Linked DNA regions of Saccharomyces cerevisiae S288C. Changing the gene in region 2 together with the main gene of any one other region gives a genetic interaction. Each region holds a gene or a part of one and is shown on either strand. Other genes may lie near its edges.

Region 1 (5,329 bases), 110 kb from region 2:
AAGGTATAATGAGCAATGGGAAGCTTCGCCACAATCTGAAATCGCAATGTATTTGGGTGATATTCAAGATCATATTGTAACCATGGTCTCATCGCTAAACCATTATGAAAAACTGTTAAGTAGATCGCATTCAAATTATCTGGCACAAATCAACATTGATATGACGAAGGTTAATAATGACATGAACGACGTTTTGGGAAAAATTACCATACTGGGTACTATTGTTCTGCCAATGAATGTGATTACGGGTCTGTGGGGTATGAATGTTATCGTGCCCGGACAATACAGGGATTCGTTGACATGGTTTATAGGCATTGTGCTTTTTATGTGTATGCTAGCATGTTCTGCATATATGTATACTAAGAGAAGATTCGGGTTTTAATTTAAGTGTTTTTTCGCGCATTAGCGCTTGCTTTTCCTTCGATTTTAATTATCAGCCTAAATTATTGTTGTCTTTCCCGAAGGATAGAATTGTAAATTATCAGCGCCGTATCGTATACTTGTGGTGATAAATATCTTTAATCTATTTATGTTTTTTTTTTTTTTTTTTTTCGTGTCTGGTTTCTACATGTTTGTGAACGTTCTGCATATCTTTATGTACGTACACAGTATGTTAGTATGCACTTATACTATACAAAGAATAAGGGAGGTGAGGTTAATCAATAAGGTTAACGTAAAACATTTATTATTTTCATCACCAAACTGTTGGAAGTTTTGAATTGGTTAATTATCAAGGATTTCATTGTTAGCCAAATTTTCCTTGGCGAGATCTTGTTTCTCTTTCTGGAGTTGCTGTTTTTGTTCTTTTTTGTCCTTGTTTATTTGTTTTTGCTTTTCTGAATCAATTTGTGGTTTCAAATCGTTCTCCAAATTCTTTACTTCTTGTTGCTTTGCGACTTCATTATTGAACTTTTCTTTAGGTACTTTAGCTTGTTGTGGTTGCTTATTGTTAGTCGCATCAGCTGCACCGCCGGCTGCAATATTGGTATGATCGCTTGCACTTGCAGAAACATCAGAAGAATGGCTTTCTAGCTTGATCTCAGTTTCTTTATTCAGATCAGAATAGGCAACTTTTATAACGAAATAAACGCCACATAACAGTATAATGTATACTATAATCTTTTTCATAGGGGTAGTCAGATAACCGCCCCTTCTTCTGGAATTATATTTGCTTCCTGTTTTATAACGAGGTAAAAGATCTTTTTTCCTTCTGATATCGCCCTGCATATTTTCTATAATTATGAATCACTTTAGTTTGATTTATATTTGCTCAGAATACCCTAGCTTTATCTATATAGTACTACTACTTTGGAGGGGAGGAACGTATGTTGGAAGGCAATAGCACTCTGGTAAAGTGCTAACTCTTAATGTTAATGACGAAATCACTTTTTTTGCCTTTCTGAAAGATTGGAAGACTGTCACTGAGAAATTCGCTATTCTTTTCTTTTTCTTCGTGTTTTTTTTTGTTAGAATACTGCACAGCTTGCTATCCCGCTGCACAGCTTGCTATCCCGCTGCACAACATGAAATTGCTCACGTCGTGCCAAATTACATATAGGTGCTTACCCTGTTTATATTTTTTGCCTTCATAGCGGAGTTTTTAAGGGTAGCCCTTATGTTTTTAGCGTTCATTTGAACGAATGGCTAACGCTAAACGGAGAAGAGAGGAAAACAAGGCCGCTGGCGTTATTGCGCGTAAAAACAGGAGATAAGCACTGTTTAACATACATTTCATTGAAAGCTTAAAGCCGCAAAAGATGAAGGGTTTTCAAAATTTTCATCTCTTGCAGTATAAGGATGCAGTGAATCTATCTACAGACAGTTGATAAAAACGTCTACCTTGCCTAGTGTACCCAGCTGCTGTCAACTTCTTTCCTTAGCGCGTAAAGAGCTATGTTTTCGATAAAAGATGCAACATAAATGCTACGATGTAAGGCACCCAGGACCTCTGAAGGCAAAGAAGTTGTGAAATTTGAAAAATAATCGCTCAAAAAGGAATAATTGTCAAGCGTAACGATTTTTTTGATTTTCCGAAATCAGGGGAGGGGAAAAGAAAAGGGGAAGGGGTCTCCTCACAGGTATTGTGAGCTCCAAGCAATCATTTTGCCAGCACTAGGAAATAATAAAATGAAAGAAAAAAACATACATAGAAAGTGCCGCTCCGGGGCATTTTGAGCGCGGCAAAAAAAGCCCGAAGATCCGTTCCTCGAAGGAACGGCAACCGCACACCAAGAAAAAGGGAAAAAGGTGGGGTTGGCTGTAAAGTACGAGCGCGGGGACGGATCCGTAACAATTTCTATGTGGGGCCAGCAGCCGGCTGCTGGTGGGTACTGTTGTACGAAGCGGTTGGTAGCGATGACAGTGGCCAGGGCTGCTAGGCATGGTGCCGTGAAAACCCAGCGCAAATGTCAGGCTGCAGGAACCGGCTTTCTCCCACGAGGTTTCACTGCTGGCGGCGTACTGGTCATTTTTAGAACCTGAAAACCCGAGCTAGAACTAGGACTCTTGAGCAATAAGGTTTGCGCATTGCTATTCTCCGGATAAACCAAACCCACCCTTTTAAGAGCGTTTAACAAAGGTCTCTTATCTATCAAAAGTATTATGGCTATTTCTGGGATTCCGCTTGCGGGCCTTTCTACCCTCTTGATGCTACACATGTTTCCCTTAGATGCATGAGCATACCTGTAGGTACTTAAATTTTATTTTTATGCATCTTATTTCTGTCTAAATTTGTATATAACAAGCAACTGCAGTTCTGTGATGTGTTTTTCGCAACTGGTCAACAGGCTTAAGAATTTTTCCGTCTCTTTCCGTTTTATTTCCAGAGAATTAACATTTATAGAGAAAAGAATTAAAACGTGAAATTTCCTTTTTGAATATTTAACGCCTTTATCAGTTCGGCTTTTTTTTCTTTTCTTCTTATTAAAAACAATATAATGCTAGTCTTCGGACCTAATAGTAGTTTCGTTCGTCACGCAAACAAGAAACAAGAAGATTCGTCTATAATGAACGAGCCAAACGGATTGATGGACCCGGTATTGAGCACAACCAACGTTTCTGCTACTTCTTCTAATGACAATTCTGCGAACAATAGCATATCTTCGCCGGAATATACCTTTGGTCAATTCTCAATGGATTCTCCGCATAGAACGGACGCCACTAATACTCCAATTTTAACAGCGACAACTAATACGACTGCTAATAATAGTTTAATGAATTTAAAGGATACCGCCAGTTTAGCTACCAACTGGAAGTGGAAAAATTCCAATAACGCACAGTTCGTGAATGACGGTGAGAAACAAAGCAGTAATGCTAATGGTAAGAAAAATGGTGGTGATAAGATATATAGTTCAGTAGCCACCCCTCAAGCTTTAAATGACGAATTGAAAAACTTGGAGCAACTAGAAAAGGTATTTTCTCCAATGAATCCTATCAATGACAGTCATTTTAATGAAAATATAGAATTATCGCCACACCAACATGCAACTTCTCCCAAGACAAACCTTCTTGAGGCAGAACCTTCAATATATTCCAATTTGTTTCTAGATGCTAGGTTACCAAACAACGCCAACAGTACAACAGGATTGAACGACAATGATTATAATCTAGACGATACCAATAATGATAATACTAATAGCATGCAATCAATCTTAGAGGATTTTGTATCTTCAGAAGAAGCATTGAAGTTCATGCCGGACGCTGGTCGCGACGCAAGAAGATACAGCGAGGTGGTTACCTCTTCCTTTCCTTCTATGACGGATTCTAGAAATTCGATCTCTCATTCGATAGAGTTTTGGAATCTCAATCACAAAAATAGTAGCAACAGTAAACCCACTCAACAAATTATCCCTGAAGGTACTGCCACTACTGAGAGGCGTGGATCAACCATTTCACCTACTACCACTATAAACAACTCTAATCCAAACTTCAAATTATTAGATCATGACGTTTCTCAAGCTCTGAGCGGTTATAGTATGGATTTTTCTAAGGACTCTGGTATAACAAAGCCAAAAAGCATTTCCTCTTCTTTAAATCGCATCTCCCATAGCAGTAGCACCACAAGGCAACAGCGTGCCTCTTTGCCCTTAATTCATGATATTGAATCTTTTGCAAATGATTCGGTGATGGCAAATCCTCTGTCTGATTCCGCATCATTTCTTTCAGAAGAAAATGAAGACGATGCTTTTGGTGCGCTAAATTACAATAGCTTAGATGCAACCACAATGTCGGCATTCGACAATAACGTAGACCCCTTCAACATTCTCAAGTCATCTCCGGCTCAGGATCAACAGTTTATCAAACCCTCTATGATGTTGTCGGATAATGCCTCTGCTGCCGCTAAATTGGCGACTTCTGGTGTTGATAATATCACACCTACACCAGCTTTCCAAAGAAGAAGCTATGATATCTCGATGAACTCTTCGTTCAAAATACTTCCTACTAGTCAAGCTCACCATGCAGCTCAACATCATCAACAACAACCTACTAAACAGGCAACGGTAAGCCCAAACACAAGAAGAAGAAAGTCGTCAAGTGTTACTTTAAGTCCAACTATTTCTCATAACAACAACAATGGTAAGGTTCCTGTCCAACCTCGGAAAAGGAAATCTATTACTACCATTGACCCCAACAACTACGATAAAAATAAACCTTTCAAGTGTAAAGACTGTGAGAAGGCATTCAGACGCAGTGAGCACTTGAAAAGGCATATAAGATCCGTTCATTCAACGGAACGCCCTTTTGCTTGTATGTTCTGTGAGAAAAAATTCAGTAGAAGTGACAATTTATCACAACATCTAAAAACTCACAAAAAGCACGGTGATTTTTGAAAAAAATAAGGTCAAAAGCAAATAAAAGCAAGACAAGCTACGGTATGACAAGTTTTCGGAGAAATAATATTCTTTCTTCCTCAGTTTACAAAACAAGTAGGTTGGTCATTTCATTCGGATATATTCTAAGGAATGAAATGAACATTGGTGTTTGTTTCTAATATAATCTTAAGATATTTTAAATTGTTTCTTTCCTTTTTTGCCTTTCTAACTATTACTTCAACTTCTTTTCCGTATATTTCCGTTTTTTCCATTTGGCAGATTAAAAAAATTGTGCACGTTCTGGTTTTAACGTATAGACTTCTAATATATTTCTCCATACTTGGTATTTTTTATTCACTTTTTTTATACATATTTGGTTTTTTTATACAATATCAAAAATCAATAATAATTAATTTAATAACAAGAATATGTTGCTGTGATGACTCTTAATATACAATTGGGAAGCATTCAAGGATTGGTACGACGTTTGCTTTCTGATAATTAAACGCTTGGCGTTT
Region 2 (3,829 bases):
ATCCCTTTTCTCTTTAAATTCTTGTAAGTCAGGATTTGCGAGTTCAGATGCGTTCATGTTCACCAGTTTATTTAAAGGCAATTTGCCCTCGACAACGTGTGCCTTCAGTTCCAAATTTTTTTTATCCTTTAAATTAGAGTATAACGACCTCACTTTCTCTGTGTATATCTTGTCCAAAGTACCAAACTCGACGTTAAGGCAAGCTTTGTAAAGTTCTTCTTCCAGATTGTGCGCAAACTCTTGCGATATCGATATAACGTCTTTCCCATCAGGAAGCTCATAAAGTTTTGCCTCAATTGTTTCGGGAACGATGAATTTGCTAAATAAGGTAGAGAACATTTTTTCTGCATTATACCTCAGTTTGTGTTCTTTTTCGCTTTCAAAATCTTTCCTAGTAGGCATTTCGTTTTCGGCAGTATCAGACTTGGCGGCATCAATGCTTTTATTCCTTTTTTTTGACCCATTGGATTTCTTCACCTGTTTGGATTTGATATGAATTCCTTTGGCACTATCGGGGCTCCTTTTTCGTTTCCTAGGGCTTTCCTCATCAAGAAAGACATCTGCATCATTGTCATCATGGTCATTTACGGGCTTGTAAACATCATCATGGTAATCTTCATCCTCTGAAACCTCTGCCTCCTTTGACGTTTCCAAATGTGCATACAATGATGGGTCGCACAATTCACAGTAGTACTTAGAATCTTCACTCATTAGCCCATCTATGGTGTCTTTACCATCAGTCATACATTTAATATGCTGCCAAGTGTCACAGCCATCGCACTGTACCATGTCGCCATGCGAATATTCTGCAGCATCGTAGTTTTCATTGTTCGCCCCACACAGACATCTAACATAGCCCTCATCCGCTTCGTCTACTTCGTCTGTTCTTACATTTTCAGTATCTTTCCTTGGCTCCTGAGAAGAATCAGACTTCTTATTCTTCTCTATGGCTGAATCAACTTTCTTTTTAGTTCTTTTTTTCTTTGGTGCTTCAGTCTCCTCCTGTAACAAATACTCAATATATTTATTCTGACCCTTATTAGATCTTGAAGAAGTACGGACAGACATAATAAATTTAAACTAAATAAAAGCTAAAAGTAAAAGAGAACCTAGGATAATCGATAGCTCCCTGTGTATAGAACAAGTCAAAATACTAAGATCTCGTCAACCTATCCTCTTTCATTGCAAGCCTTTTGGCCAAACTGCAGTCTGGGCATCCCTTTGCATGTCTTGTGAAATAGTATCCATCTCTCCCCAGCTCCCAGAAATGATATGAAAAGTTATTCGTGAAGAGTGATCCTAAAACTGAAAAAAGGAAAAAACAAAAATGAGCTAAAAAAACCACAACAAAAGAATATCAACTTCATTGCTTGGCGGGTCATCGCTTTTTTATTTCTTTCTGTCAAAGAATAATAAAGTGCCCATCAGTGTTCATATTTGTTACAAAGTGGTTTTCTGATTTGGTACTACTGCAGAGGCGTATTTTTTGCTTCAGTTACCATAGCGTAAGAACACTAGCGACTTTTGTTCGTGAACCAACAGAGTAGGATTTCTACTGCTACATCTCTTAGGTAGTTGGTTAGTCCGATCGCTCACTTTTGGTTGTTGTTAAGTACTTCATAAGTTTATCCTTTTCCTTTTTCACACTGAGCTACTTTGGGTATAGCTTTTGGCCCAAGGATCTTTGAATTTTCTCCAAAAGTACTTTATTTTATATCCTACAGGTTGCGGTTTTCATATTTTAAAAAGCTTTTAATCATTCCTTTGCGTATGGCAAACCCTTTTTCGAGATGGTTTCTATCAGAGAGACCTCCAAACTGCCATGTAGCCGATTTAGAAACAAGTTTAGATCCCCATCAAACGTTGTTGAAGGTGCAAAAATACAAACCCGCTTTAAGCGACTGGGTGCATTACATCTTCTTGGGATCCATCATGCTGTTTGTGTTCATTACTAATCCCGCACCTTGGATCTTCAAGATCCTTTTTTATTGTTTCTTGGGCACTTTATTCATCATTCCAGCTACGTCACAGTTTTTCTTCAATGCCTTGCCCATCCTAACATGGGTGGCGCTGTATTTCACTTCATCGTACTTTCCAGATGACCGCAGGCCTCCTATTACTGTCAAAGTGTTACCAGCGGTGGAAACAATTTTATACGGCGACAATTTAAGTGATATTCTTGCAACATCGACGAATTCCTTTTTGGACATTTTAGCATGGTTACCGTACGGACTATTTCATTTTGGGGCCCCATTTGTCGTTGCTGCCATCTTATTCGTATTTGGTCCACCAACTGTTTTGCAAGGTTATGCTTTTGCATTTGGTTATATGAACCTGTTTGGTGTTATCATGCAAAATGTCTTTCCAGCCGCTCCCCCATGGTATAAAATTCTCTATGGATTGCAATCAGCCAACTATGATATGCATGGCTCGCCTGGTGGATTAGCTAGAATTGATAAGCTACTCGGTATTAATATGTATACTACAGCTTTTTCAAATTCCTCCGTCATTTTCGGTGCTTTTCCTTCACTGCATTCCGGGTGTGCTACTATGGAAGCCCTGTTTTTCTGTTATTGTTTTCCAAAATTGAAGCCCTTGTTTATTGCTTATGTTTGCTGGTTATGGTGGTCAACTATGTATCTGACACACCATTATTTTGTAGACCTTATGGCAGGTTCTGTGCTGTCATACGTTATTTTCCAGTACACAAAGTACACACATTTACCAATTGTAGATACATCTCTTTTTTGCAGATGGTCATACACTTCAATTGAGAAATACGATATATCAAAGAGTGATCCATTGGCTGCAGATTCAAACGATATCGAAAGTGTCCCTTTGTCCAACTTGGAACTTGACTTTGATCTTAATATGACTGATGAACCCAGTGTAAGCCCTTCGTTATTTGATGGATCTACTTCTGTTTCTCGTTCGTCCGCCACGTCTATAACGTCACTAGGTGTAAAGAGGGCTTAATGAGTATTTTATCTGCAATTACGGATACGGTTGGTCTTATGTAGATACATATAAATATATATCTTTTTCTTTCTTTTTCTTAGTCAGGATTGTCGTTTAGCATAATATACATGTAGTTTATTTAATCACATACCACTGATTATCTTTAGAATTTTATAAATTTTTGAAATAAATGGGTGGCTTTTAATGGTGTCTATGTTAAGTGAGGCTTTTAGAATGCTCTTCCTGCTTTGTTTATTATATGTGTATGAAAGATATGTATGTATTTACATGTGTTTGTAGCGTCCCCAGTCAAAACCTGTGCGCTATACCTAAATGGATTGATAATCTTCATTCACTAATTCTAAAATAGACTTCTTCCCCAAAGAACGGTGTAACGATGAGGCTCTATCCAGCTGCTTATCTAAATCAACTTTAACGATGGATGATCTTATGACACGGGGATCTTTCTTTAAAGTTCTTAGAATTTCAGACTGTACCGCAGCTGATGAATCAAACAGCATTAAAAAGTGATATGCTCGAAAATGTTTTTCCTGGTCTTTCTTCATTATTTTAGGAAGATACCTTATGCCCATGGGTACAATGTCCCTCACCACACCTCTGTTTTGAATAATCAGTTTCCCGATTGTGGAAGACAATTCTTTTGCTTCCAACTTTGGCGCATTGGAGTTGGTTATGCGAACAAGTCCGATCAGCTCATAAAGCATCTTAGTGAAAAGGGTGGTTTTGCGTTATTCTTTCCTCTGTTGAAGCTTTTCTATTTTGTTTAAGCTGAACTAGTGGGAGTTTCCATTAAAAGGCTAAAGTCTTGTTGAAACTTTTCCGGGTTAGATGATAACTGCGAAAAGATAGA

Evidence for each region. Genes that interact genetically often act in the same process or in processes that back each other up.
Region 1: mutations in AUR1 (region 2) and MSN4 impair growth when combined (synthetic growth defect), as found in Saccharomyces cerevisiae (one study listed by BioGRID).

Annotation. Positions count from the first base shown.
Region 1 is NC_001143.9:320,292-325,620, forward strand, and holds MSN4 (stress-responsive transcriptional activator MSN4), read left to right. Parts: upstream 1-2,936; coding exon 2,937-4,829; downstream 4,830-5,329. Other genes in the region: putative Mg(2+) transporter MNR2, read left to right, coding at 1-382; YKL063C (uncharacterized protein), read right to left, coding at 724-1,227. UniProt on the Saccharomyces cerevisiae protein: Positive transcriptional factor that acts as a component of the stress responsive system. Recognizes and binds to the stress response element (STRE) which is involved in the response to various forms of stress (heat, oxidative, osmotic, etc.).
Region 2 is NC_001143.9:433,810-437,638, forward strand, and holds AUR1 (inositol phosphorylceramide synthase), read left to right. Parts: upstream 1-1,770; coding exon 1,771-2,976; downstream 2,977-3,829. Other genes in the region: BYE1 (Bye1p), read right to left, coding at 1-1,068; mitochondrial 37S ribosomal protein bS6m MRP17, read right to left, coding at 3,288-3,683. UniProt on the Saccharomyces cerevisiae protein: Catalytic component of the inositol phosphorylceramide synthase which catalyzes the addition of a phosphorylinositol group onto ceramide to form inositol phosphorylceramide, an essential step in sphingolipid biosynthesis.